Oryctolagus cuniculus: one gene and its partners. The protein of the gene in region 1 purifies or fractionates together with the protein of each later gene. This does not show direct contact. Links are inferred from orthologs where the notes say so. Each region holds a gene or a part of one and is shown on either strand. Other genes may lie near its edges. The genes, in order: ATP6V1A, ATP6V1F and ATP5F1C.

Region 1 (9,986 bases):
ATCAAATTTAAATTTTTACAGATTACAGAAATTCCCATGTACAGACTGTTTAATAACAATTTTAAATGTTTTTTTCTTAATCTAGAAATAGTTATTTTGCTGCATTTTCTTCCAACTTTTTACATATGTAATCACTACTGCACATATCCTCTTTCTTCAGGTATTTTCCAATTTAATTAATCTCCTCTATTGCATCATAAAATAAGTTTTCTTAAAAAAATTAAGATAGGAAACAACTGAAATAAAACTTAAGAGTCCAATTGCTTTTCACTAATCAAGCACATCTGGAGTTCCTCTGCATCATATCACACACCACTCATTTCATTTTCAATGAAATATAAACATCATTTTTCATGAAAGAAAATATGGCATGTTGTAGGTATAATTAAAAAAAACACACAAGGATTTTATTTATTTATTTGAGAGGTAGAGTTACAGAGAGAGAGAGGGAGAGACAGAGAGAAAGGTCTTCCATCTGTTGGTTCACTCCCCAAATGGCCACAACGACTGGAGCTGAGGCTGATCTGAAGCCAGGAGCCAGGAACCTCCTCTGGGCTTCCAACATGGGTGCAAGGGCCCAAGCACTTGGGCCATCTTCCACTTCTGTCCCTGGCCATTAACAGAGAGCTGGATGGGAAGAGGAGCAGCAGGGACCAGAACCAGCACCCATATGGGATGCTGGTGGCACAGGTGAAAGATTAACCTACTGTACCACAGCACCAGCACTGGTATAATTTCTTAAAAAAAAGTTTATCATCAAAAGAACAGCTGATTCTACCAACAGCATTAAGAATCAAAATTTTATTGCAATTAAGTTATAACAATGATAAATTATGATAAAAATATTATATAAGAATTAAAGTGTTTCTAAAATTCAAATCTAAAAATGTCAATTTTTAATGTATTTTAAAAATTTATTTATTTATTTGAAACAGAAATAGGGAGAGACAGAAAGAGAGAGTATGTTCCGAAATGTCAGCAACAGCAAGTGCCAGGCCAGGCCAAAAAAAGGAATCAGGAACTCCATCTGGGTCTCCCACATGGGTTGCAGGGGCCCAAATACTTGGGCTATCATCCACTGGGTTCCCAGGCACATTAAAATCAAGCTGGATTGGAAACAGAGCAACGAGGACTTGAATCCAGATTGTTGATATGGGATACTGGCATCACAAGGGGCCTAACCTGCTGCATCACAACACCAGCCTCCCATTTTTAGAAATTGGTTAACCACAGTTGTGAAACTTATTAAGTAGAATTAACCACAAAAAAATAAATAGAAAGAGGAATCTACATGTAAATAATTAGATGATTTTATCCATAGTACCAATAATTTCAGTTAATGGCTAGTTTCAGGTAAAAATAAAGATGTTACTATGAAGATAAACATCCATTTCAGATGTCTTTACATACAGACATGCATATATCTTATAATCAAGTATTCACATAATGTGCATATATAATGTATAAGTACTACATATAAAAGAAAATGCACTTATAGAAACCTAAGTCTAGGGGCTGGCACTGTGGCACAGCAGATTAAAGCCCTGGCCTGAAGCGCCGGCATCCCATATGGGCACCGGTTCTAGTCCCAGCTGCTCCTCTTCTGATCCAGCTCTCTGTTATGGCCTGGGAAAGCAGAAGATGGCCCAAGTCCTTGGGCCCATGCACCCACATGGGAGACCCGGAAGAAGCTCCTGGGTCCTGGCTTCAGATTGGCGCAGTTCCGGCCATTGTGGCCATTTGGGGAGGACGGAAGAGCTCTCTCTCTGTCTCTACCTCTCTTTGTAACTCTGTCTTTCAAATAAATTAAAACAAAATCTTAAAAAAAAATACTTAAAATTTTTAAATGTAATGATTAACAAAAGACCCTGTTCTACAGTCTGTGCAATTACAATATATTTCTATAAATCACAGAAGAACTGCTTCCTTAAATGCATCCTACAAACGAATGATCACAAGCTTTGGAAAATGTTTACTGTATGCAGAAAATACTAAGTGACTGTGGTTGCCAAATCAATGGACTTTATGTCGGTATTTCTCAGCTCCTATCAATAATTCTGCTTTAGAACTTTGCTGTAAGTACCTTTTTCTTGCCCTTTTTTTGTTTGTTAATAGCCTCATTTCATATTCTGCTCCTTGCATCGCATATTGGAGTACCTGGGTTCAGTTCTCAGCTCTGGTTTCCAATTCCACCTCCCTGCCAATGTAGACCCTAGGAGGCTAGGTGATGGCTCTGTTCAGTGTGTTACCTCCATCCATATGGGAGACCTGGATTACAATCCTGGATTTCTGCTTCAGTCCCAGACCAGCCAGAGCCACTGTGGGCATTTGGAAAGTGAACCAGCAGATGGGAACTTTCTGTGTCCTCTCTCTCAAAAAAAAAAAAAAAAAAAAAATTCTATTCCCTTCCCTATACTCTAGTGCTGTTGGTCAAGAAGGGGGTATTAGTCAATTCTGTGGAACGTGTAAGGTCTCCTTTAGAAACTCAGTACAGAAAATCAAAATAAATGTCAGTAAAGTTAATAATAAAAAATTTACAAAAGTAAGTATTAAATACTGTAAGACTGTAATCAAATTTAAACTCACTTATTTGAAAGAGTAAAGCATAAAGGAACTTAACTGATATAAGTGTCCAACGTCCCATAGTTCATAAGTGACAGGGTCAGAAGTTGAACCCAGTTCTCTAAAACTAAGAAATTCCTGTAAAGTCTGTACTATATTACTTTACAGTCACATACCACTTAGTTCTTAGAATACTGTCTCATAGATTATTATCAAGGTTATCTTACTCAACTTCACAACATCTGCGAGAGAAGGGTTCCTAAGCATCAAACCTGTAATCTCCTATGACCAGCTTTGCTTAAAGGGTATGGAACTAAAGTGGCTGAGCTGAATGAAGATCCTCTGACTTCTAATATAGCATTATACCACTTGTAGCCCATACACAATCACTTTTTTCACTGAGCACAACTCAATCCTCTTTCCTTCCTTCCCATATTTGAACGGTAACCATATCTGTTATTAAATACACATATATGAAGTGAAAATAAGTTGGTCACTGTATTAACAATGTTCATTTCAGGTTTATGTTTATTCCATTGACTATACATTGGAAGGTTATCATTAACAAGTGGCATTTGCAAGCTTATGTTGACTGCACAACCTTAGAAGGTACAAGGAACTGCAACAGGTAAAATGGTTTCATCTCCTTGTCTAATTGTCCAACACTCATTTAAACAATTTAGTAAGTACCTATCAGGAACTTCAGCATTCTGGTGTTCAAGACACACAGGAAAGACACTGCACTTGAACCCCTAAGATCTTTATGGTTAAATGAAAATAAGGCCACAGACTGCAACGTGCTGGAAGTGAAAAGAGAACAGAAATTACTATGCAATAGTTGACAGAACTGAGTGGCTACCTTTGCCCGGGGGGAAGAAAGCATTCTCAGTGGTGGAGATCATCTGTAAAGGCGGTGAAAACAAGCCCTCACAGGAAGGCCGCTAACACAAAAGCCCTATGTGCTCCTGAGTGGTGGACTACAGCACAATGTTCTACATAAATGTTAGGATTTTAACATATAACACTCATAGACAGATAAAGCTACTCTAAGAAATGTCTTCCAGGCTTCAAGACCTCTGTGTGTGTGTGTGTGTGCGCATGCGCAGGTTTTCATTGTGTATGTTAAAGCTCTTTTCCCCATTCAGTCTCAGAAGCAATGTAGTCACCAATTCCTGCTGCTCATCTGTCAGATTTCCTCAGTGATCTCCATTACTGCTTTCATAAGTTCCCTAAAGTTGGAGAAATTGTGAAGTAAAACTGCAAACTCATTCAACCTCTTCAATACTGACATTTCACCCCGCTAGGACTCAATGCTTTGTAGCTGGTTTTTCTCTCTCCCGTTTTGGTTTCACCCAGACAGGACTGGTTTGGACTACCACAGTGCTCAAGGAGCTATTTGGTAGAAGGTCACCTGGGCAATGAAGCAACACTTCCCCACCCCCCTTCTCTCCTCTAGAGATCAGGAAACCTCACTCTGGAAAAAAAACTCATTAATAAAATTGTATTTGCATCTGTAGAAGGCATGCCTAATAAACATTTCAATAGATAACTGTTATTGACCAGTATGAACAACATATAAGTACAACATGCTAAAACTGTTGCTTTTTCCTCTTCTGTTTCTTGTGGTTGTTTTTGTTTTTAAATCTGTGCTTATTAGAAAGGCAGAGAGAGAGGGAGAGAGAGCTTAATCTCTGTGCCAAACACCCACCCTCAGTAATCTTCTTCAATACTTGAAGACAGCAAGATCTTCAAGATTGTGTTTTTCCAATAAGGAGCACCAAAAGGCCAGTTTTTCTACGGTAAACTTCATAACAGTTTATTGAAAAGAATTTGGAAGATACAGAAAAAATAAAATTAAGTCAGTCACATCCACCAAAGACGATTCCATCTTCCTCATTTCTCAGCTGTCTTTCTAATGGATTCTTCAATTTCACTGGTTAGAAAACTGCAACATTTTAGCTGAGAATATGAATTTTTCATTCTAATTGAAAATTTTAAAAAAATCAAGTCTGTCATTTTTACAACACCTTTCCATTTAAAAGAAACAAGGAGCTTTCTGAGTTGGTAGTACAAATAAAATACTTTAACCCAAAACTGAAAAACATTCTTCCCTAAAGCATTCTGTTTGGGGTCAATACACTGTCTACCACATTACATGCAAAATAGGTTGGGCAAAATCCTAGGCAAAACAATTTCTGTATGTCCACAAAATATTATTCATCAAAATAAGAGGTCATTTGGAGTTTTACAAATGGAGAAAGCTAAGGAGAGAGAAAAGCACTACTTAACACACATATACCACAAAGCTAGTCCAGGCATCGATTGGGAGTGGCAATTAAGTAGGATTTTAGGGAGGAACAGGAAAAAAAAAAGGTTGACAGAAGCAGAAAACATGAAGTCAACAATATCTAGACTTAGTCTTCTTACCTTTAAGTTTACAGTCAAATAAATCTGGTTTACTTTTATTTCCAGCCCGTTCCGTTTCCCTTGCAGGGAAACGTAGGCACTTTTCCATAAGCTAGCCTGAGCCTCCCGCGGACCACGACGCTGCAACACCATCTTTCAACGCCTCCCCATTCAATCGAGAATGTCGCAGTCCCAACACTCCCTGTTTTGGAGATAGTTAGGCCTTCGACCTTCCTCGTTCACCCTTCTAGGCCCACCCGAAGCCTAGGAACACCTACAGAATCTCTCTTGCGAGGATGTCAGATAAAGATCCTTAGAATTACTGAGGAAGCACATTCAGAGGGAAGCTTTCGCGTGACTCCGCAGCGAGGGCCACATCAGTGACATTCCCTCCCAAGCCTGTCTCGCAGGAGACGCCTCTGCCTCCAGGGTTTTTCCACCGTTCCAGCTCCCCAGCCCCGGACGAGGGCCTTGACCGAGGAATGAGCTTTGGGGAATGGGGACCCGGTGGCAGTGCAAACCCCCCTCCCCCGAAGGAATGGATGAACCAATTCTACTACACGGAGCCCCAAAGATTCCGAAGAGGGTACGATAATGACCGCATTCACTCCCAAACAAGGAAAAAGTGGACACCTCAACCTCCAGGTAGTAGGGGCGACCACGGTAGGAGGGATGGGAGGACAGGGGTCAGGAGACATGGAGAAATAAGCTCCCTGCCGGCGCAGAGTGACAGCGGGAAGGATGAGCCGGGCAACGGAGGCCGCTGTTCACACTCCCCCTTCTCCCTCCTGCCACCCCCTGGGCTGTCCCCACCAGTCTCCAGTTACCGGTCGCCGCTCACCTGCTGGGGCGCGAGGTGCACAAGCAATACGGATCACCGACCCAGAGGCTCTGTCACTGCGGGAGGGGAAGTCTTCAGCTGCGGGGGAGGGGCGGGCCTAACCATTCACGTGACCTCGAGCTCCGCCCCGCCGCCCCCAACCCGGCGCGCTGCATTTCGGGGGTTTGCGTTTTTTACGGATCGCTTGAATACGCATTTTTCTAGCGATCAAAACAAAAACTAAGCCTAAGTTTTCACCACGATTAGGTTGCAGAGTGCAATGGAGAAAAGTGCGGATGGCAAGGGTTAAAGTGCATTGCTAAGGAAGTGACGTTCACGCCCAGCTCCACGGACCGGAAATGGCGATGGAGTTCCGAGCCACTGGCGCCTGCCGGTAAAGTCCCAGGCCGTAAGGCTTAGGCTAGTCACGTGATCTCAAAACGGTGTGCCTGGGGTAGCGAGTTATCCGGCCGATTGTTAGCTACGTTTGTTTCTAAAGCACCTCATTGACTTGAGCTTTCCACACTTGTTTACACTTACAGGAACCGGCTTTACAAAACCCTATTAGACAAAAGCGTTTGGCGGTCTAGCTGGTGACCATCAACTAGAAAGAACAGGGTCGGGAAAGACTGAACTTGCTGATTTGGGAGCGACGAGGGAGGGGTGGAAAAATCCGGATTTCGCCGCCCGGGCCTACCAGGCAAGCCCCACAGCTGCTGTCGTAACGGGTAGGAGGAGCAGCAGCGTGACGCCCGAAGGCGCAGCCCAGTTGGGAAGATGGAGGTCTTGGAGAGGAGGGGGAAGGGTGCGCAGAGGCGAGTAGTGCGGCTGCGCGCTGGGCGGCGGACGCGCCGGCGCGCAGAGGGGGCGGGGTGAAAGGTCACAGCGGGGCGGCGGGGCTGGCTGGCGGCGGCGGCAGCGGGAGCCGAGTTCGCGGGTGCACGTGTGGGGCAGCGCAGGCACCCTAGCGGCGGCGGGAGACCCCTCCCACCCCCTCCGGAGGCACAGGGCCGTGCTCGGCTGTCGCGGTCTCAGTCCCACGCTCCGCTCCCTGCCCGGAGCGAGGAGGCCGGCTCGGGAGGTTGAGTGGCCCGAGCTGAGAGCGCTGAGGGCTCTGGGCGGCGACGACGACGGCGTTGATAGCGGCGGTAACGACGGCCTCAGCAGGCGGGGAAGATGAAAGGGTGAGGAAGGACAGCCGGCTGGGGCCCAGCCGGGCCCGTGTAATGGGAGAGCCGCGGAGGAGGGGAGTCCAGGGCGAAGACTGCGCGGTCGGAGGCTTTTAGGCTTTTTCTGTTTGCTCCGCTCCCAGAGGGGGCGGCGGCTCGGCGCGGGCTGTTAGACTAAAGGACGAAGGGAGGCGAGACCCCGGGAACGCAGGATTTCGGCGCCCCAAGGACGACTGTGTGCTGAGCGGAGGCCAGCGGCAGGGCCCGGAGGCCACTGTGAGGCCTGGGGCCTCCTGCCGGGGAGCGCACGGCTGAGCCAGCCGCGGCCCGCCACTTCAGGTGGAAAGGGGCTGCTTGTCCTCCAGGCGCAGGCTCGGCGCTGCGGCCGCCGTTTTTGACAACCTTCCCATTTTGTTCACACGTGGGATTTCTGCAGAATCTTCTGGAGGGAGAAGGGTCGGGAATGAAGAGCCTGGGGATGAGTATTAAGAGCTAGTGACTCAACTGGATTTGGGTTGGGTCAGCGAGTGGAGGAGGGGGAGAGCGCGCGAGCCCTGTAGACTCGGGATGCCAAAACGTTTAAGGAAGTCTTGTGCATCAGTAGGTGGAGCTGTTGCTTCAGTGGTTCACCGTTTGCCCCTGAGTAGTGTGAGGGGGGTCGTGGGTTACCACAATGCTTTCCTTAGGTGATCACGGTTTCCCTCTCGGATAAAATTAAGGATTGTTTAGGTACGACTATTCCCATTAGGATAAAATGTCTATTTACCATTACTTTATGTATTATTACAGTTTTAGTAATACAGCATTGTGTTAGCCTAAATTGCATTACCTAAATCAGCCGTTTTGGAGCTTTGCCCTACAGTCCTTAGAGAGAGAAATGGAAGCTTGTAAATGTTAAATCTCTGAAATGCCTGAGGTTTTTTTCTATTAACATAAGTCAGTTGAAGAATTGTAGCTACGCTGTAAATTAGTGAAGTCTTTAGACTACTCAGCGGCTCCCGTGAGGATGAAATGTGTACTCGGTACTGCGTAAAACAGGTCTAAATATTATCTGTGTATCTCCGTTGGAAGTCTCAAGAGAAATTCCAAGAAAGTTTAATTTGATACTGGATCTGTAACAAGTTACTTTACTGTGGTTTTGCTTTAAATAAAGTTTAGGAAGCAAATTCACAGTACCTACATTAATTATTTCATATCAAGTTCTAAAGAGTTCCAATAAAAATTAATTGAGTATGGGAATTATATACTCCTTGAATCTTGATCTAGGGAGTTGCACTACTTTACATATGATCCAACATGTTTTCAGAGTTTTTTTGTTTGGTTTTTACTGGACTGAACGTGAGTATGGATGATGTCTCTTAGTGTATTTTCTTTACCAGAGACACTCAATACATGTTTGTTGTTCTGTTAAAATGATAAAGTTGAGGAGTTTTTAATTTTGAACTGTGCTGTGGATTTAAAGGAGGGTCCTAAGAAATTATTCTGGATGTTTAGATCCAAAATCTTTGATCTAGCTCAGTCTTCATGGGATGCAATGTTCTTTCTCATAGGTACTACCTTGGCTAGACTTGGAACCGAATAGATATTATTCACAATTTACTTTGAGTGCAGATACTCAGGAAGCTATTGTCTTTTTATTTAAAATGGATATTTGTGCATAACCTGATATGGGCAGATTCTTAGAAATGAATAACTGGCTAGAGTTCGTGGGGACTGTTAGAGTTAATGAGTCAGTACTGATAAATGATTGTAAAGCAACTATACATGAAGAGTCCTTACATGTAGTTCCTATCATTTAGGATTAGGAGCCTACAATGTGTTTTTTACTGTGAACTTTCTTTTTATTTTTTATTTTTGACAAGCAGAGTTAGACAGTGAGACAGAGAGAGACAACGGTCTTCCTTTCTGTTGGTTCATCCCCCCCCCCCCCCCATGGCCGCCACAGCCGGCGCACTGTGCCAATCCGAAGCCAGGAGCCAGGTGCTTCCTCCTGGTCTCCCATGCGAGTGCAGGGCTCAAGCACTTGGGCCATCCCCCACTGCCTTCCTGGGCCACAGCAGAGAGCTGTACAGGAAGAGGAGCAGCCGGGACAGAATCCGGCGCCCCAACCGGGACTAGAACCCAGGGTGCCGGAGCCGCAGGCAGAGGATTAGCCAAGTGAGCTGTGGCGCCGGCCATGAACTTTCTTTTTAAAGATTTATTTATTTACCTATTTGAAAGTCAGAAAAGAGAGAGAGAGAGAGATACTCCATCCATCTACTAGTTCACTACCCAGATGGCCACGGCCGCCTGGGCTGTACTAAGCTGAAGCCAGGAGCTGTCTCCCAAGTGGGTGCAGGGGCCCAAGGACTTGGGCCATTTTCTGCTGCTTTCCCAGGCGCATTAGTATGGAGCAGGATCGTAAATGGAGCATCTGGGACTCGAACCAGAAACGGTTCCCAAGTGGGATGCTGGCACTGAGGATGGCGGTTTAACCTGCTGCTCCTCAGTGGTCGACCCCTTCATTGTGAACTAAAAGATGATTTCTTAAGAATAGTCTAACCTTCAATATGAACTGTAAGGTTGACTTCAAAAAAAAATTTTTTTTTTGCTTCTAAGTCTGTGTCCAAGGCACTGAAAAATGAAGGCAGGCAGGATGTACTAAATTGTTTAAAAGTTGCTAAGGTCCTTGAGTTCCTAAACTTGTATCACCGGTTTGTAATGTGGCCAGTGTCCCGACTCCATTTGGAAAAGCCTGTGAAAGTGAAACTGATTGTGATTAAGTTGTTTTTTTTTTTTTTTAAGATTTGTTTGCTTATTTGAAAGGTAGAGTTGGAGAGAGAGAGATCTTCCATCCACTGGTTCGCTCCCCAAATGGCCACAACAGCCAGAGCTGGGCCAGTCTGAACCAGGAGCTAGGAGCTTCTTCCAGGTCTCACACATGGGTACGGAGGCCAAAGCACTTGGCCATCTTCTATTGCTTTCCCAGTTGCATTAGCAGTGAGCTGGATCGGAAGTGGAGCCTCTGGGATGGCGGGTGCTGCGGGTGG
Region 2 (9,932 bases), on another chromosome or scaffold:
AACATGATGATGGTGGGTGTGCACGGGCCCAAGACCCCCTGCGAGGAGGTGTATGTGAAGCATATGGGGAACCGGGTGTACAACGTCACCTACACTGTCAAGGAGAAAGGGGACTACATTCTCATCGTCAAGTGGGGCGACGAGAGCGTGCCCGGAAGCCCCTTCAAAGTCAATGTGCCCTAATGCCAGAAGTGCCTCCCCCAGCCTCCGCCCCCTCCTCCGGCCAGACACACACAACACACACACACATACACACACACACACACACGCCACACCCAGATGCACACGTGTGGAATGAGACACTGCCAACGCCTGCCCTGGGTGTGCAGCGAACGGCTCAGCCTCCCCACCCTGCTGCCGTGCCCTTGATGGGTGGAGTGCCTTGTCTTGTCTCAGGACAGTGTCCCTCCCCTTGAACGTGGCATGAGGGCAGACTGGGGCCAGGCCCGGGGACAAAGGCTGGACAGGGGGTTGGGCAAGCCCTGAGTCCCCAGGAGAGCACATTGTTGGAGGTGTCTGTGTGTGTGACAGATGTCATCCTTCAACCACACTGCTGGCCCCGGGTGGGCGGGGAGGGGAAGGCCTGCTCTGAGGATTGTGTCTGGCCCCCCTGGTGGCCACACCCCCAGCGTGGAAGGACTTGGAAAAGAAGGCACAATCAGAGAAGAAAACAGACCCGGAGCGAGAGCCCGTGGACTGCCCGAGCGATGCACACCCCGCCCAGCCTTCCCAGGGGACTGATTTCTCTCCGTTTTTTCTTTTTCCTTTTTTTTTTTTTTTACGGTTGCACAGCTCTGCCCCATGGGGGGCCTTTTTTACACACTGCGAGGCCCAGCTTTCTGGGGGGATTTTTGCACATGTCTGCGGCTCATCTGGGAGCTGCCTAGGTAGAAAACTCCAAATAAAGTACGGCTGTCGCAGAGGCTCGGCTGTTGCTTGTGAGTGCGCGCCCCGGGCTGGCGGCCTTCCAGCCTCTCGACACTGCGGTCCTGGGCAGGCGGAGGCTGGATCGCCATCCCCAGAGGACAGGCCCGGGCTCGGGCAAGATCTGGGCTGTTGGCCGAATGCTTGGAAGAACCTGTGATGGCCGCTTGGGGATGAGGGCTTGGTCCTTAGCTAGAGGGTTGGTGGCTAGTACAGGGTGGGGGTGGGGGGACTCCATGTCTTAGAAGACTGCCCTAGATGGCTAGTTCTAGTTCATCCTGTCCTCAGTGTCTGGATCAGACTGGGCCTGCGCTACCCCCACCTGTAGCCCTGAGCTTGCCTGGGCCCGGATTCCTGGACCAGCCGCCTCCATTAGGCCCCCCTGGCCCTGGCCAGCTCCCTCCAGCCCACCCTCTGGGCTGCAGCTGGAGGAGGGGCACCCTGAACGCACTGTGGCCGGCTGTGGTTTGTGCCTTTCTGTGGCTCCCTCTTGCCCCCGGCTAACGCCTACTCTTCCAGGCCGAGACCCAGGAGGCTCACTGCCAGCCCCTCCACCGGTGCGACTCAGGCAGTGTGCCCACTCCACACCATCCACTCCAACCCCTCCTCTCGGCCTCATGAGTCCCCCATTCCTCTTGGCCAACAGGAAGCTGCCTGGCCCCCTCCCTGGCTCAGCAACCCAGCCTCCATACGGCCCAGGCTGCATTCACCGTTCTGATCTGGCCTCTGCCGCCAGACAGCTCCTGGCCAGGAGGCCCTTCTGTGGGTGCCAATGACTCAGTTCAAGAGCACCCGAGAGGCTGAGCAGGACCAGGACCCGCCTTGCTCGGTGGGCCTGGCTATCCCATGCCGGTCCCCAGGCATTGTGGCGCATGGTGGCAGGTGCACCAGGGAAGACCCGAAACACTTGTAGCTGCAGCTGGTAACCACCTCCTCCCCGCCTCCTCACCCTTTAAGCTGCTTCTCTTCCCGCTCAGGGAAGGAGGGACCCTGCCCTCCTTGCTCTGGACCCTGCCCCCAGGCCCCGCAGGAAGCTCCTGAGGACAGAAGTTCCCTTTTACCAACCCTGTGTCTTCGGCCCCTGATGATAATCCCACTTGATAAAGGGTGGCTGCAGGAAAGAGCGAGCGGGTGATGAGTGTGACGCTGTCCCTGCCCCTTCCGTGACTGGCAAGCGCATGGAAGGTGCTGTGTCCTATTAAGCACCCGGCACTCGTGACCCCCGCAGGCCAGCTGGGCGCCAGGCACTGCGCCCAGGGCTCGGGGCAGGCCCTTCCTCCCACCCCTCCTGCCCCCCGCCCTTGCATGGAGGGCTTCCTCTGAGGGTTTGCTGCCTGCCGACTGTGTGTGTGGGTGCATTTCCGGGTCTCCAGCCCAGCCGCTCGGGGCTCTGGGTGCTGAGTATTCATGGGCCCTTTCTCACTTCATCCCCAGAACAGCCCTGTGAGGTGGGCGCAGGATTAGCTGAAGAAACCCGGGCTCTGAGAATGGAGGTCCTGGGCCCAAAGCCACCCACTGCTACGTGAGGGGCCCGCATTCAAACGCAGGGGTGTGCACACCCCAGGCCTCTCGTGGGCCAGCCATGCGGGCATCTCACGCGCTCCTCACACACAGCTCGTGCCCGACGCTGGGGATGTCGTTTGTTGAAAGGGAAGATAAATGAGTGGTCCTTTCCCCTTCAACCTCCTCATCTCACAGAGTCCACTATTTCCGGAACATTCCTCATGTCATTTAGCTGCACACACCAGAAACCTGGGAATCACCTGGGCGCCTCTCCACCTTGCTCTCCACATTCGACTCAAAAACCAGTTTCGGGGGTGGGTGTTTGGCACAGCTGTTAAGATCTTGCTTGGAACTGCTGCACCCCATGTTGAAATGCCTGGGTTCAACACTTTACCGGCTTTACTCCCAATTACAGCCTCTTGCTAATGCAGACCCTGAGAGGCCACGGGTAATGGCTTGAGTAATTGGGTTCCAGTCACCCACACGGGAGACTTGATTGAGTTCCTGGCTCCCAGCTTTGGCCTGGCCCAGAGCTTACTTGTTCGCTCACGCACTCTCTCTCTCCTTGTCACCCAAATAAATAAAATAAGCAAAAATCAGTTTGGGAGCAGGTGCTTAGCCTAGTGGTTAAGACACCAAACTCTGGGCCCAGTGCTGTGGCATAGCGGGTAAAGCCACCGCCTGCAGCGCCAGCATCCCATATGGAGCTGGTTCAAGTCCTGGCTGCTCCACTTCCAATCCAGCTCTCTGCTATGACCTAGGAAAGCAGTGGAGGATGGCCCAAGTGCTTGGGCCCCTGCACCTGCATGGGAGACCTGGAAGAAGCTCCTGGCTCCTGGCTTCAGATTGGCCCAGCTCTAGCTGTTGCAGCCATTTGAGGAGTGAACTGGTGGATGGAAGACCTCTCTCTCTGTCTCTCTCTCTCTCTCTGTGTCTGCCTCTCCATAACTCTGCCTTTTAAATAAATAAATAAATCTTAAAAAAAAAAAAAGACACCCAAATCCAGGGGCTGGCATTGTGATGTAGCGGGTTCACATCCCAGCTGCTCCACTTCCAATCCAGCTGCTTGTTAATGGCATGGGAAAAGCAGCAGAAGATGGCCCAGTGTTCGGTCTCCTGTCACCTATGTGCATGTGGGAGACGCAGATAAAGCTCCTGACTCCTGGCTGTGGCCTGGCCCGCATCCCAGACAGGAAGACCTGAGCCAAATTCCTGGCTGCAGCGTCCCGACAACGCACACCCTGGGAGGCAATGACTCCAGTAACTGGTCCCTGCCACCCCCAGGGGAGACCTGGGTCACATTACCAGCTCCTGGCTCTGGCCCAGCGCAGCTCTGGCCGTTGCAGGCAGTGAAAGGGGGCTTTCTCTCCATGTCTGCCTCTAAAACAATTAGGGTTTGTCCATTCTTCTCCAGCCACCTCCTCTATGACCACTGCTGGAAATCGGCCACCATCTCTAACCACAGAGGCGTCCCAGTGTGCTCTCTGCTCCTGCAGCCCCGCCTCTGTGCACCACAGTCACACGGGCAGCTCTAGAACCGCTGTCCTCAGGGAAACCTCCAGATTCTTTAACTTTTCCTGAATGCCCTATACTCTCCAGTGCAAGTGGTTTTTGCCTTACCTTGAACACTTAAGATGGGTGCAGGGGCCCAGGCACTTCAGCCATCTTCCGCTGATTTCCCAGGCCATGCAGGGAGCTGGATCGGAAGTGGAGCTGCCCGGACTCGAACCAGTGTCCATTTGGGATGCAGGCGCTACAGGTGGGTGCTTAGCCTACCACGTCACAGCACCTGCCCCTCAGTTTAACTTCTAATTCCATTCTCCCACAAACTTTCTGTATTCAGTAACTGTTAACTATGAGTCATGGCTACATACATACATACATGATACAGACATGTTCTTGCCCTTGAGAACAGCGAGTGCAGTTTCTCCTGCGGGGTCCCACAGCGCTGCTTCTGCAGAACGAACCAAGCAACGCCAATAGGAAGCCGTGCGGCCGCTCAGCCTTCTGGGAATCGTAGTCCTCGGGTTCGGCCTCTCTTTATGGCGCAGGCATATTCAGGTTGAGGCGGCCTTGCTGTTAATGCGCATGTCCTGGAGGCGGTGTGGCCGAACTGCGCATGTCTGAAAGGCGGGGGCGAGGCCAACCCGGCTACAGGTGCGGAAGCTGGGATTCGGGGACTTCGGGAGCTCGGGGCCGCTCTCTGCGCCGCGACCAGGATGGCAGGGAGGGGAAAACTGATCGCGGTGATCGGAGACGAGGACACGGTGACTGGCTTCCTGCTGGGCGGCATCGGGGAGCTTAACAAGAACCGCCACCCTAATTTCCTGGTGGTGGAGAAGGACACGACCATCACCGAGATCGAAGACACTTTCCGGTACGGTCGCCTGAGAGGCCTGAACGGGCCCTTCTGCCGCCTGGGTGGGAGCGAAGGGGCGAGGGGCGGCCGCCCGGGGACCGAGGTGTCAGACCCCGACCCGAGGGCGGGCCTCCTCACGCCGGCCTGGAGGCCTCTGCGCCCCCCGTCCCCCGTTCCCTCTTGCGATTCGGTGGGCCTGAGGCTGTGGTCGTGACAGGTCCGCGCGCTCCCTCTCACATGACCGTGTGTCAGGAAAGAAGAGGAAGAGAGCTGGTGACGGGCACAGCCGGCTGCGAGCCTTGCAGGCGCTGGGCTGCTTTGCGCTCGGTGCGCACCCGTGGAGCCGGGCTTTCTCCTACTTCCACATCCTCTAGGGGCTCCCAGTCGACCTGGAAGGTGGGGGTTAGTGTTCCCATTTACAGGTGGTGGTACCCAAAGTCAGGGCTGCTCACACCTTGCACCTCACGTCCTCCTCTCCTGCCCTGGGTCAGGGGCGACGGTCGCAGCTGAGCCTTTTAATCCGCAGGTGTCCTGGTGCTAGAATGGAGCTGCCCTGGTTCCTTCACCCCTTCCCTTTGCCGAGTCTCAGGAATTCTCTCACTTGTTTCCCCCTAAACAGCCCAGCCCACAGCTGCTGGCTGAAACCAGTTCTGCTGCCTGGGGTACCGTGGGGCTTTGCCCTGGGGAGGCAGCTGTCTGCGGATCACCAAGCAGTCTGGCAGGGTGACCCGGGTTGTCATGGGACAAGGAGGAATTTTACTCCAAGGATTGTCCATGCTTCCAACCAAAAAGAAACTTCGAGATCAAGTGTTGCCGGGCACAGGGTCGGGCACAGGGTGGGTGCCCAGGACGGAGCTCTTCCTGAGAAATAACGCACGGGCCGTCCCGGGCCAGGGCTCCGCAGGGCCAGGGCCGTCTGTGCGGAAAGTGCGAGCCCTTCAGTGCTGAATTCCTCTTCCCACCTGTGCTTTGGCCTGGGCCAGGCACCCCGTCCTCCCTTAGCACAGACATGGTGACCTTGAGGCCCCCTGGGTCCTGTTTTTCGAAAATGTAATGGATTTGGTTTCCTCTGGACATTGAATGCCTTCATGTGGTTTCCAATTCAGTTTTTAAAAGGTATACATTGAGGCCGGCGCCACGGCTCAATGGGCTAATCCTCCGCCTTGCGGCGCCGGCACCCCGGGTTCTAGTCCCGGTCAGGGCACCAGATTCTGTCCCGGTTGCCCCTCTTCCAGGCCAGCTCTCTGCTGTGGCCCGGGAGTGCAGTGGAGGATGGCCCAAGTGCTTGGGCCCTGCACCCCATGGGAGACCAGGATAAGTACCTGGCTCCTGCCATCGGATCAGCGCGGTGCGCAGGCCGCAGCGCACAGGCCGCGGCAGCCATTGGAGGGTGAACCAACGGCAAAGGAAGACCTTTCTCTCTCTCACTGTCCACTCTGCCTGTCAAAAAAAAAAAAAAGGTGTACATTGAGGAGCCTCCTGCCACACACACACACACACCCCATCTCCCTGTCTGCTCCTGTAGACAGCCATTTAGCTTCTGCCTGATCACTCTCCTAGCTCTTCATGCAGATAGGAAGGGATGCATAGTTGCTGGCGCTGGGGCACAGCGGGTTGAGCCGCCGCCTGCAGCGCTGGCATCCCAAGTCCAGGCCGAGTGGCATCTTAACCGCTGAGCCGAATGCCCGCCCCACACGTATCCCCACCCTTCCCTGTCTGATAGCAGGGCAGCACCCTGAGCGCACGCGTGGACACCCTCATCTTCAGCTTTGGTTCACTCGGAAGCTCCCCAGGCAGGGGCGTACAAGCAGGCCCTGGCTAACAGAACCCTGAGCTCTTGAGTGCAGTTGATTCTGGGTCAAGCAGACTCCACCTTTGCCCTGGTCCTCTCTGCTCCCCGGGTCACTCCTCTTCCTCTGCAGTTCCGAGCGGGCCGCCGGGAGCTGCCCCGGACTCGCTTCTCGTCTCTCCCGGCAGGCAGTTTCTCAGCCGGGACGACGTCGGCATCATCCTCATCAACCAGTACATCGCGGAGATGGTGCGGCACGCGCTGGACGCCCACCAGCGCTCCATCCCGGCCGTGCTGGAGATCCCCTCCAAGGAGCACCCCTATGACGCCGCCAAGGACTCCATCCTGCGCAGGGCCAGGGGCATGTTCACCGCCGAAGACCTGCGCTAGGACACGCCCCGCGGAGCACGGCCCTCAGCCCCTCCCGCCCTTCCAGGCCTCTCCCCGGCTTTGTCCCCAGCCCCGCTCTGAAGGTTCAAGCCTCTGATTTCCACGTCTCCACTCCTTCCCACCCCAGGGAGAGGCTGTGTGAGGGGCATCTAGGTTGCTGGGATGCTGCTATTAAAAGCCAGGCTGGTTAGGGAACAGGAGGCCTGACCGTCTTCTCTCTCCACGACCTCTTCCCCGTGCTGTCGCCCAGTGTCGTTGTCCATGTTAAATTAAAGTAATATTCTGGCTTCTGTCCAAAAACTGGGCCTGGGTACTGGACAGGAAGGGGGGGGGGGGAGATGAGGCTCCTGGGGGAGATGAGATTGGCAGGGGTGGAAAATGTTCCACCAAGGACCAGGCATGGACGAGCTGGCCCAGGAAGATGTGCCAGGAGGCCCTAACTCAGGCACTGGCCCTCTGGTTCAAAAAGACCAGCTGGGGGGGTGGGGGTACGAGGCTTGAGCCCAGCCTGTGGCTCTCCCGCCTCAGTCTGCACTGGGCAGAAGGGGGCCTGAGCCGGGGGAAGTTAGCAGAAAGCACAAGAAACCTGGGAGCCGGTGATACCAGATCCTGCCCGGGGCCTGCAGCGCCAGCCGGTGTCAGGATCCCAGCACTGGGCCCGGGGCCTGCAGCGCCAGCCGGTGTCAGGATCTCAGCACTGGGCCCGGGCTCCAGGCTGCCTCAGGAGTGGGGCGTGTGAGGTCTGTGTGGGCGCAGCAGGTGGAACCCTGCCCCTGTGTGAGGTGAGGCCTGGTTGCCTGGTGACTGCCCCAGGGCGGCCACCTGCTGCCAGCCGCAGTGTGCTTGCCGTGCTCGCCCTTGGCACGGCTCCCCCACCCCCTGCCGCCATGTCTCGGCAGCTCAACATGGACACGCTGCGGCAGAACTTCTGGAAGGAGGACTATTTAAGGGAGAAGATGTTGCGCTGTGAATGGCACCGCAAGTACGGGTCGCTGGTGAAAGCCAAGCAGAAGGCTAAGGCCGCAGCCCGACTGCCCCTCAAACTGCCCACCCTGCAGCCCACGGCCCCACCCGCACCCCCTCCTGCCCCCGGAGCAGCCCCTCCCAAGGCGCCCAGCCCTGCCGCAGAGGCTCCCCTGCAGTCGGAGATGTACCCGGTGCTGCCCGCCACCCGGGCCCTGCTGTACGAAGGCATCTCCCACGACTTCCAGGGCCGCTACCGCTACCTGAGCACGCGCAAGCTGGACTTGCCCGAAACACGCTACCTCTTCCCCATCACCACCAGCTTCACATACGGCTGGCAGCTCGGTGAGCCCTGAGCCCCGCAGGTTAGGCACCTGCCCCACAGCAGCGCCAGGTGCCAGGGAGCGGGCACATTCAGGAAGAGAAGGGAAGGTACAAGAGGGACAGGCACCATGGAGAGGTCTGGGGGCTCGGGAGAGGCCTCTGGGGCCTGAAAGCTGAGCACTGCATGACAAAGAGGAGTTGGGATTTTATTGAGAAGCCAATGGAAGGTTTTAAGCAGTGGGTGGTCCTGATTGGCTTTTTTTAAAAGAATTACCCCAACTGTTCTATAGGGAATGGCTTTTTTTTTTTTTTCCTTTAGTGAGAATTGGAGACTGGTGAGTTAGGCATCTGTGTTGAGTTATCCTGGCATGAAATGACCGTGACCTGGGCTAAGGCTTAGCAGTAGCGCTGCAATCCAGGGTACTCCGGAGGAACACTCAGTGGGACTCACTGCTGGACTGAGTGTGGGAGTAAGGAGCCGAGGGAGTCCATGGCGGTGCCCCGGTGTGGCTGGAGCTGCTGTGACAGGATAGGGCTGGCGAGGGCAGGGCTGGAGGGTGCGCTGGCTCCAGGGCTGTGCTTGGGTACCAGGGAGACAGCTGTGTGCGTCAGTCTGGCTCTCAGGAGTGAGGTCAGAGTTGAACGTACAGTCAAGAGTAGTCATTATAAGTGCTACTTAGCTCTGTGAGGTCAGGGACGTCAGCTGGGGCGCCCAGGCTGCGGGGATCCGATAGGAGGGGCGGCAGATGGAAGGCCAACCGTCTAGACCATCTAGAACCGTGTGTGTTTGCCTGAGGCTGGGAGGGGAGGAGTCTGGGGAGTGGCGAGGCTGAGATGAGTCAGTGTGTGGGGAGAGGAGTGGGCCGGCAGGGCTGCTGCATCCCTTGGCTGTCTGTGCTCCTGAATCTCAAGTGAGACTGTTCAGTCCTGGTCTGCACCTCAGGAGTGTCTGTGCAGGAGGGGAGGTGGCTGGGCTCATCACCATGGAGACTTCACCCGAAAACTTCCCGTATCTTCCCCAGCTCGTAAGGGTATGATTAAGGGAGCGACCGCTCAACAAAAGCAGACACTAGATGGCAGCTGCATGTCTCCCAGTGCGTCCCTGTGGTGGGCAGGGCCAGGTGGCCCCTCCCCCGGGAGAATGCTGAAGCTGTGGGCAGTGGTGACAGGCGGCTGATCCCGGCCTGCTACCCTGGCCGCATCCAGTGTCCACTCCTGTATCTCCTTGTAGCCCACAGTCCTCACAAGTTCTTTATTTCTCCACACAAAGTTCACACAACATGGACAGGGTTGTGGGCTGTGCAGACAGACGGGGCTCCCCTGCTCTGTCGGCCTCTTGCCCAGGAACCCATTCCTGGCCCCTGGTCTCTTCCCAGGCCCCCCAGCGAAGCAAGAACTGGTCTCCTGCAAGATGTGCCGCATCGAGTCGTTCTTCCGCAAGAACGGGGCCTTTGCTCTGCTTGACCCCCGGGACCTGGCCCTGTGACCTTGGCCCAGGCCCTGGGCTTAGGACAGAGAAGAATAACAGCCTTGTGCTGGGGAAGCCGCTGTGAGTCTGTGTCTGCTCCCCCCGGCCTGGGGCCACGTTCTGAGCCTGCTGGGACCCATGTCTTTCCTGCAGGTTGCCCTCTTGCTTTTTCCTTAACTCGCATCCCCTTAATCATTCCCTAGAGGACCCAG
Region 3 (9,921 bases), on another chromosome or scaffold:
AACTGTACTTCTAAACTTGTTTTTGGGCCAGCACTGTAGTGTAGTGGGTAAAGCCGCCTGCAGTGCCAGTACCCCATATGGTGCCAGTTCGAGTCCTGGCTGCTCCACTTCCGATCCAACTCTCTGCTATGGCCTGGGAGACCCAGAAGCTCCTGGGTTCCTGGCTTTGGATCAGTGCAGCTCCAGCTGTTGCAGCCATTTGGGGATGGAAGGCCCCTCCATCCCCACCCCACCCCACCCTGTGTCTTGAGCTCTCTCTCTCTCTCTGCTTGTCTACCTCTCTACCTCTCAGTGGTAACTCTTCCTTTCTTTCTTTTTTTTTTTTTTTTTTTTGACAGGCAGAGTGGACAGTGAGAGAGAGAGAGACAGAGAGAAAGGTCTTCCTTTTGCTGTTGGTTCACCCTCCAATGGCCGCCGCGGCTGGTGCGCGGCGGCCGGCGCACCGCGCTGATCCGATGGCAGGAGCCAGGAGCCAGGTGCTTTTCCTGGTCTCCCATGGGGTGCAGGACCCAAGCACCTGGGCCATCCTCCACTGCACTCCCTGGCCACAGCAGAGGGCTGGCCTGGAAGAGGTGCAACCGGGACAGAATCCGGCGCCCCAACCGGGACTAGAACCAGGTGTGCCGGCGCCGCAAGGCGGAGGATTAGCCTAGTGAGCCGCGGCGCCGGCCATCTTCCTTTCAAATAAATAAATCTTTAAAACAAACAAACTTGTTTTCATTTTTCAGCTGATACATTTAAATCTATACCGGTATTTCTCCCTCTGTCCTAGGCTCTTTGCAAGTACTCAGTCCTTACACTAAGCCAATAGAGCACTCTTTTTTTTAATTCTCCTTTAACAGAGGACAGACTGGCGGCACAGACACTAAGTAACTTGTTCAAGGTCACACAGCCATGTGAGTGGCAGCCATCAGGATTTAAACCCTGGCAGTTTGGCTCCAGGATCTACCTGTTATACATTCTGCTGCCTCGCACCTTTCTTTTTTTCATGTATATAGTTTAGTTTATGGCTACTGATGTTCCTATTTTAGAACAGTTCCTATTTGGAGAATATTGAACATTAATGCAACAAAAATCTAGTTTCTCCAGAACCAGGGACTCCTTTTTTCAAGTTTGTTTCCATTTTCTTAAATGCTACTTCTGGCCCAATTTCCAAAAAGTGAGGGTACTTTGCTGATATGAAAATATACTATTAAATAACTTTTAATTAGGTCTAATGATTTTAATTAAGTCCAATGCTTAGTTAAAGCAAACATGTTAACCTCGCTGAAAACAAACAAACAAAAATACTATAAAATACCAAATCGTATTTCAAAAGCTTTCAATTTCAATAATCAAAACAGAACCAAGGCCGGCGCCGCGGCTCACTAGGCTAATCCTCCGCCTAGCGGCGCCGGCACACCGGGTTCTAGTCCCGGTCAGGGCGCCGGATTCTGTCCCGGTTGCCCCTCTTCCAGGCCAGCTCTCTGCTGTGGCCAGGGAGTGCAGTGGAGGATGGCCCAAGTGCTTGGGCCCTGCACCCCATGGGAGACCAGGAAAAGCACCTGGCTCCTGGCTCCTGCCATCGGATCAGCGCGGTGCGCCGGCCGCGGCGGCCATTGGAGGGTGAACCAACGGCAAAGGAAGACCTTTCTCTCTGTCTCTCTCTCTCACTGTCCACTCTGCCTGTCAAAAAAAAAAAAAACACAGAACCAAGGCCGGCGCCGCGGCTCACTAGGCTAATCCTCCGCCTTGTGGCGCCGGCACACCGGGTTCTAGTCCTGGTTGCCCCTCTTCCAGGCCAGCTCTCTGCTGTGGCCAGGGAGTGCAGTGGAGGATGGCCCAAGTGCTTGGGCCTTGCACCCCATGGGAGACCAGCAGAAGCACCTGGCTCCTGCCACCAGATCAGCGCGGTGCGCCGGCAGCAGCGCGGCGGCCATTGGAGGGTGAACCAATGGCAAAGGAAGACCTTTCTCTCTGTCTCTCTCACTGTGTCCACTCTGCCTGTAAAAAAAAAAAAAAAAAAAAAAAAAAAAAAAAAAAAAAAAAAAACAAACCAAAAAACAGACCCAAGGAAATATCTTGTCATGGTTCTGTAAAGGCAAAAGTATTTATCTCCCCTTCCAAATTAACTGTGAAATGTGAAACATTAAGATGGTGCTAATTGGGCTGGCGCTGTGGCTCACTTGGTTAGTCCTCCACTTGCGGTGCTGGCATCCCATATGGGCACTAGGTTCTAGTCCCGGTTGTTCCTCTTCCAGTCCAGCTCTCTGCTGTAGCCTGGGAAGGCAGTGGAGGATGGCCCAGGTCCTTGGGCCCTGCACCCGCATGGGAGACCAGGAGAAGCACCTGGCTCCTGGCTTCAGATCAGCGCAGCGCCGGCCATAACCGCCATTTGGGGAGTGAACCAATGCAGGGAAGACCTTTCCCCTTCTCTCTATTGTCTATAACTTTGTCAAATAAATTAAAAAAAAAAAAAAAAAAAGATGGTGCTAATTTCTGAATTCAAAGGCCAAGTAGAATTTAAATTTGTATTTATATTATTCATTTACAAGGCAGAGTGACAGAGACAGATAAGCAGGCAGAAACCTCCCATCCATGGGTTCACTCTCCAAATGCTCCCAACAGCCAGGACAGCTCCAGGTTAAGCCAGGCGACTGGAACTCAATCCACATCTCTTGCATGGGTGGCAGGGAAGCAAGTAACTGAGCTACCCACCTGCTTCCTGGCAGCGTGCACACCAGCAGGAAGCTAGAATGGACAGTGGAGTCAGGACTCCAACTCCAATATGGGACACGGGTGTCCCAAGAGGTGGCTTCACTACTGTACCAAACAGCTGCTCTATGAATTATAATTCATAGGAAGACAAAGGGTAGAAGAGGCAAGAAGGACCTTAATCCAAACATCGGAATATGTGAAGAGGTTGCTTGATGAATATTCAAAACCTATCAATTTAAAACAAAAGTTCCAAAGGTATTAAGGTCAGGACTACAACCTTTATTTGCTAACTGAAGTCCCAATTTGGGCTCCATGCAGCTGCCTCAGACCAAGGGCTCTTTTTTCAAAAAAAAAGAAAAAAAAAACAACCCTACCTTTATTAAGAGACTTCTAAATTGTCTTACATGTTTTTCTTAAAAGTGACTGCTAGAAGTTCATGTAAAATATTTTTCTCCATTTCAGAAACTCTCCATTTTTAAAATATCTACTTGAAACTGTGAGTCTAAAAATACTAGCAGATAACATCAATGCAAAGGGAGATGGGAAGAAGAGGCTATGATTGCCGAGTTACATGGCTGGCCTGGAAGCTCACCAAGGCCGCATCTGTTTGTTCAAACCACAGTGTAGCACTTTTCAGTGTCAACCAGCCAGGGTAAACACTTAGCAGATGCTTGCTGAGAAGTTACTAATGGGAAAATCTACACATCTAAGAATGTGGCTGTCCTGACTTCTGAATTTCTATGAATATTCTTTCTCGACCGGAAAAAAATCTAGCTTCCACGGCCATCTCTCCAAAAATTTCACATACACAATTCCCATCATATTTAATTAATTGTACATGGCTATCACTTCTTAACGAAAGAAGTTCCATTTCAATCAATGCTTCACAGTCCCATCACAAATTACAAGAATCAAGTGTCTGGAGCTCCCTAGAAATCCCCCACACTGTAACACCAGGGGTTTGCTATGACGCCGCTGAGAGCTAACAGTCCCCTGTGCACCCTAATGTTCTCTCAGACTCTGGCTTCACAGCATTTCATCCCATTATACAGCACTACCCGCAAACACACTTTTATCTGGCCATTGCTGAAGCCGCCTAATATGCGGTCCCCCCCACCCCACCCCCGAGGAACTCAAGTTGAAAACCTTTAAAACGTGGAGCGCCCTTCACCTGCAGTTAACAAATACCACTTAAAATTCATCTCCTGAGGACCTTGGCGCAATCACATGACCTTGCAGGGTGATGGTTTCAGGAGGGTGACAGATGGCTTTCCTCTCCCCATTAGCAGCGAAGGCCTTTAAGGTCCCTTCTGCACCGAGACGACCACCACCCTCATTTTTCCAGTAACCCAGCGAAGCGCCCGTCGCATATCGATAAGCGTATTTGATGAATGTGCTCAGACTCGATTAAGTCTTAAAGGGTCACACTGCCCAGTCCTGGAAGGTTTCAAGGACACAGAGCACCACGTAACCGTCTCCTAGGCTTGATCTCACATAATCCCCCACCCCTAAGCTTGAGGACCCGGGCTAACGTCTCCCCCAGACTTGCTGCCTGGCAGGAAGCGGAAGCTCAGGAAGTCCTTATTAGCTGAATGAATTCAAGACCGCCCTGACACGAACTCGGACAAAGGTCTCAGTCCCAAGATTCCAAATGACCCCTCCAGCCTCAGGGGACTTGGCAGGGCCTTCCTCCCTCTGACAGCAGTTTCGGCCGCAGCGCGCGCCATTCCCGCTTCGGAGCCGCTTCCTGCAGCCCGGGGCTGCCCGGGGCCTCTGCAAGACACGGGGCCTAGCCAGGCCCTGCACCTCCCGGGTTCGTCCTGCACGCCCCCACCGCCTCCTCCATCCCACCTGACCAAGCTCTTCTACCCTTCACAGTTCTCCCGATCCTCCCATAAGCTGCCATACCATTGCGGTTGCAAGGCCCTGGCCGACAGCCCAGCGACGCTCGCCCGAGAAAACATGGTGGCACCGGCCTTGCTGAAGGTCGGGCAGACAGGGCTTACTGCGCGCGCGCGCAGGCTTCCCCACTCGCCCCTCCCACCTCGCTTGCTACAGTAGTCTCGCTTGCTCTCGCGAAATCTCGCGAGTGGTGGGGCCCAGCCTTCCCCGAGGTCCCACCTTTCCCCCGGCTTGCAGCTTTGTCCCGCCTGCCCCACCAACCCAGTTCCGCTTCCGGTTGCCGGGGTGCTGAGGTTCTGAAAGTGGTCTCTGCGGTGGTCGTGATGGGGAAGTCAGATTTTCTTACTCCAAAGGCCATCGCCAACAGGATCAAATCCAAGGGGCTTCAGAAGCTACGCTGGTATTGCCAGATGTGCCAGAAGCAGTGTCGAGACGAGGTGAGTGAGCCCGGGTGGCTCCCTCCCTCCAGGAGGGCTCGTCGCTGGGGGTGAGGGTGCAGGTCTCAGGGGCCCACTAGTGAGGCTTCTTTTGGGGTCTGCGCTGGGTGAGTCAGCTGCGCAACTCAGTGGAGTCATCTTCCCTGCACCCCCGGCTCCACGGGGACCTGGGGGTCTTCGACACCCCATTCCTCCTAATCCACCTGCCCCGAAGATATGAATTCGGAAAAGTTTGCAGCTCCGGTGTGGAAATGGATAGTGCGGTGCCAGCCGTCCAGGCGCTAACTAACCTGCTCTCTGACTTAACATGCCTCTTAAGAGAAAAAGCATGATTAGAATTCAGGATCAGGTGCAGAAGGAAAACTAAGCTCTTCCACGCTGCATATCTAACAAGCATTTGTGGAGTATTGACTGTAGGATAGGCTGAGTTCTATCGTGGTCGAAACTGTGGACTTATCCGGAGCCGCACTGTCAAAATTAGGCAGCCGAGCCATGCGGCTTATTCGTTGTGTGATTTGGGGAAGTTAACGTTGTCTTTGCCTGTTTACTTCTCTGTAAAGTGGAAATAATAATTATACCTCCTTGTAGGCTTGTTTTAAGTTTTTTAAATCAATGAATTACATGCGAGGTGGTTTTGGGAGTCCTAGAACAAGCCTTGTGTATCAGGCTATGGAGTTTATACTTTTCCATTAAGTGAGGTGGATGATGGAACCCAGAATTGAAGACCTTGAGAGCAGGCTAGTGACGTGATCATATTTTTTCTTTGGAGATTAGATTGGATAGTAATGAAAGAACATAGAGGCAACTGGAATAATCGAATCCAATTTCTGCACATGAGTGAGATGTCTTAGGTTGGACTCACATTAAACGGCTTCTGTCTGGCATTTCTCTTTAGTTCTTTCTGTTCTAAGTCAACATGAGGTTCTCACAAAGAAAGCCAGAGACTAGAACAGTGAACAGCCATTTGTCCACTCCCCAGTGTTGTCGTCTGCTTGGATTACAGTACCAACACCGTGGACCGAGTGGTCTGTTCCTCACAGTTGCAGAGCCTGGGCAGGCTGAAGTCAGGTTCTGGGATAGCAGGGTTTTGGTGAGGACCCTTTTCCTGGGTCATAGGGGATAGTCCTTCTTTATCTTTACAAGGTGGGGAGAGAGCAGCTCTAGCTCTTTCTTTTTTCCCATATTTTATTTATGAGAGAGGGAGAGACACAGAGAGAGGTCTTCCATCCGCTGGTTCACTCCCCAGATGGCTGCAACGGCTGGAGCTGTGCTGATCCGAAGCCAGGAGCCAGGAGCTTCTTCCAGGTCTCCCACGCGGGTGCAGGGCCCAAGGACTTGGGCCATCTTCTACTGCTTTCCCAGGCCACAGCAGAGAGCTGCATCGGAGGTGGAGCAGCTGGGACTCGAATTGGCACCCATGTGAGATGCTGGTGCCACAGGCGGAGGCTTAGCCCACTATGCCACAATGCTGGCCCCCTCTAGCCTTTTTTTTTATATAAGGGTAATAATACCACCACAGAGGCTCGACCCTGGCAGTTTTGTCTAAACAAAATTACCTCCCAAAGGCCCCACTTCCACTTCTTTTTTTTTTTTTTTTTTTTTTTTTTTAAGATTTATTTATTCATTTGAAAGGCAGAGTTAGAGAGAGGGAGAGAGACAGAGATTTCACTCCCAAATGTCTGCAATGACCGGGGCTGCAAAAGGTCCCACTTCTAATGTCTTGTTAAGGATTAGGATTTCATTGTGAATTTTGGGGGACACAGGCTTGCAGTTTTTTTTTTTTTTTTTTTTTTAAGATTTATTTTATTTATTTGACAGAGTTACAGAGAAGTAGACACACACACAGAGAAAGAGGTCTTCCATCCACTAGTTCACTCCCCATATGGCTGCAACGGCTGGAGTTGAGCTGATCCAAAGCCAGAGCCAGAAACTAGAAGCCAGGAGCTTCTTCTGGGTCTCCTGCGTGGTTGCAGGGCCCAAGCACTTGGGCCATCTTCTGCTGCTTTCCCAGGCCACAGCAGAGAGCTGGATCAAAAGTGGAGCAGCCGGGACTGGAACTGGCGCCCACATAGGATGCCAGCACTGCAGGCGGTGGCTTTACCTGCTATGCCACAGTGCCAACCCCAAACATGCAGTTTTAACAGTTGATGTATTTTGCCATATTTTCTTTAAAAAAAAAAAAAAATGTCACCTGAGAGGCAGTTCACTCCCCCAAATGCCTGCAACAGCTAGGGCTAGGCCAGGTTGAAGCTGGGAGCCAAGAATTCAGTTCCAGTGTCAGGGACCCAGCCACTTGAGTCATCACCTGCTACCTCTCAGAGTGTGTATTACAGGGAAGCTGCAACTAGGAGCAAAGCCAGGAGTCAAAGCCAGGCTCTGCAATATAGGATGTGGACTCCAGTACAGGAGGCAGGTGTCCCAAGTGGTGATTAACCACTAGGCCAAATGCTCACCCCTGCCATACTTACATGTCACTGAAGTGTTTTAAAGTAAGTTATAAATATCAGGGTATTTCACCTCTAAGTACTAAAGTGTGCATTTCTGAAATGTCAGGATATAAGGGTGGAAGTTAGGACACCGTTAGGATGCCCGTGTGCCTCGTCAGATCGAGTTCCTGGTTCAGGACGTGGCTCCACTCCCCATTCCAGCTTCCTGCTAATGCAGACCCTGGGAGGCAGAAGTGATGACTCAAGTAATTGGCTTCCTGCCGGTCGTGAGACCTGAGCTGAGTTACCGTCTTGCAGCCTCTGCCCCATTCGGGGGCTGCTGCAGATTTCTGGAGAGTGAAGCAGTGGATGGGAGCTTTTTTCCCCCCATCTCTGCCCATCAAATGAACATCAGTTAATCAATCAATCAATACAGTATCAAAATAACCACAATATAGGTCATCAATAGGACAAAGCTAGTAAATTCCTATCATCTACACACTCTATATTCATGCTTCCTACTTGTTGCCCAAATTATTTAAAAGCAGTTTTTTCAAACCAAAATTCAATTAAAATCCATAAATTGGATTGGTTGTTAGGACTTTTTTTTTTTTTTAAATAGACTTTACTTTTTAAGTTGTTTTTGGTTTACAGCAAAAAGCAGCTGTAACACACTCCCAAACACTCCCCTACTTAACAACATCCTTCCCTAGGATGGTACATTTGTTATAGTGGATAAACCTACATTGACACATCATTATCCTCTAAAGTCCATCTTACATTAAGGCTCACTCTTGGTATTGTACATTCTGTCAGCTTAAATAATGATGGGAATCCACCATTATAGCATCTTACAGAATAGTTTCTGGCCCCCAAAATCCTCTGTCTTAGGTTATTAGAACTTTTAATTCTCTCTCTTACAATTCTAAATTTGTAACAGGATCCCTCTCCCCTTTTTTCTTTTTTTTAATTTTAAAAAATTTCTTCTTTTCTTATTTATTTTTTTTTTCTTTGTGTTGATTTGTGAAGGAGGCCAGTCAGTTGTCCTGTAGCATTCCCACGCTATGAACGTGTCTTTGGCCTTCATCTTCTAGCTCTTATAGTTCCTGTCAACTGGAACTTGGATATGAAGACTTGATTAGGTTCAGGTTAAGCATTTTAAGGAACAATATTTTGTAGGTGACCCTATGTGTTTCATATTGCCTCACATAAGGAAGTCTGTACTGTTTAATTATGCTAAGATGATTAAATAAGGCTGACAGCCTGTAAAGTAATATTTTTCCCTATGTGAGAGCAACTTTACTAGTGGGTTACTATTTGAAATCATGTCCATATATCTAATTACCCATTAACCTTTTACCTGTGTATTGTAGCATCCTTATCTGAGTCAGTTATTTCATTAGGAGTTGCAAAGTGGTTTTCTTTTTTCTTTTTTTTAAGATTTATTTTATTTATTTGAAATACAGAGTTACAGAGGGATGCAGAGAGAGAGAGTCTTCCAGCCGCTGGTTCACTCCCCAAATGGCCATGGTGGCCGGCCTGGGCCGATCCGAAATCAGGAGCTGGGACCTTCTTCCAAGTCTCCCAAGCGGGTGCAGGGGCCCAAGGACTTCCCATAGCAGAGAGCTGGATCGGAAGTGGAGCAATTGGGACTTGAACCAGCACCGATGTGGAATCGTGTGGCAGCACTTCAGGCCAGAGCTTTTAGCCATCTGCGCCACCCAGCCTGCAAAGTGGTTTTCTAGTTATGTGTGCATTTATTATTTGAAGCTATTCTTTTGTAAAAATGAGCTTTTGTTCATCAACTTGGCTGTTTGGTTATGTTTAAACTTCATCCTGAAATGTAATTCCTATTGGAAAAGAACAAGTTTTTTTTGTTGTTGTTTGTTTGTTTTTTAAAAATTTATTTTATTTATTTGAAAGGCAGAGTTAGAGAGGTAGAGACAGAGAGAGAGGTCTTCCATCTGCTGGTTCACTCCCCATATGGCCGCAACAGTCGGAGCTGAGCCAAGCTGATCCGAAGTTAGGAGCCAGGGACTTCCTCTGGGTCTCCGACACGGGTGCAGGGGCCCAAGGACTTGGGCCATCTTCTACTGTTTTCCCAGGCCACAGCAGAGAGCTGGATTGAAGAGGAGTAGCCAGGACTTGAACCGGCACCCATATGGGATGCCTGCACTTTGGGCCAGGGCTTTAATCCTCTGCGCCACAGTGCTGACTGTTTTTTAAATATTTGTTTATTTATTTGAGAGGCAGCCTTTCAGAGAGAGAGAAAGGGAGAGACAGAGAGAAAGGTCTTCCATCCACAGGTTCATTCCCCAAATGGCTGCAATGGCTGGAGCTGCGCTGACCCAAAGTCAGGAGCCAGGAGCTTCTTCCGGGTCTCCTATGTGGGTGCAGGAGTCCAAGCATTTGGACCATCTTCCACTGCTTTCCCAGGCCATCAGGAGAGAGGTGGATTG

Evidence for each region.
Region 2: the proteins of ATP6V1A (region 1) and ATP6V1F fractionate together in Homo sapiens (co-fractionation; 3 studies listed by BioGRID and IntAct, with this or other methods). This does not show direct contact. The link is inferred for Oryctolagus cuniculus from reciprocal best matches to the Homo sapiens genes ATP6V1A and ATP6V1F.
Region 3: the proteins of ATP6V1A (region 1) and ATP5F1C fractionate together in Homo sapiens (co-fractionation; 3 studies listed by BioGRID). This does not show direct contact. The link is inferred for Oryctolagus cuniculus from reciprocal best matches to the Homo sapiens genes ATP6V1A and ATP5F1C.

The regions. Positions count from the first base shown.
Region 1 is NC_091435.1:69,749,727-69,759,712, reverse strand, and holds the start of ATP6V1A (V-type proton ATPase catalytic subunit A), read right to left. Parts: upstream 6,083-9,986; 5' UTR 5,810-6,082; intron 1-5,809. Other genes in the region: NAA50 (N-alpha-acetyltransferase 50), read left to right, coding at 6,148-6,182. UniProt on the Homo sapiens protein: Catalytic subunit of the V1 complex of vacuolar(H+)-ATPase (V-ATPase), a multisubunit enzyme composed of a peripheral complex (V1) that hydrolyzes ATP and a membrane integral complex (V0) that translocates protons.
Region 2 is NC_091434.1:165,051,621-165,061,552, forward strand, and holds ATP6V1F (V-type proton ATPase subunit F), read left to right. Parts: upstream 1-4,441; 5' UTR 4,442-4,646; coding exon 4,647-4,804; intron 4,805-6,763; coding exon 6,764-6,965; 3' UTR 6,966-7,265; downstream 7,266-9,932. Other genes in the region: FLNC (filamin-C), read left to right, coding at 1-183; protein SPMIP1, read left to right, coding at 7,853-8,273, 9,629-9,738. UniProt on the Homo sapiens protein: Subunit of the V1 complex of vacuolar(H+)-ATPase (V-ATPase), a multisubunit enzyme composed of a peripheral complex (V1) that hydrolyzes ATP and a membrane integral complex (V0) that translocates protons.
Region 3 is NC_091444.1:75,503,256-75,513,176, forward strand, and holds the start of ATP5F1C (ATP synthase subunit gamma, mitochondrial), read right to left. Parts: upstream 4,777-9,921; 5' UTR 4,662-4,776; coding exon 4,606-4,661; intron 1-4,605. Other genes in the region: KIN (DNA/RNA-binding protein KIN17), read left to right, coding at 4,923-5,036.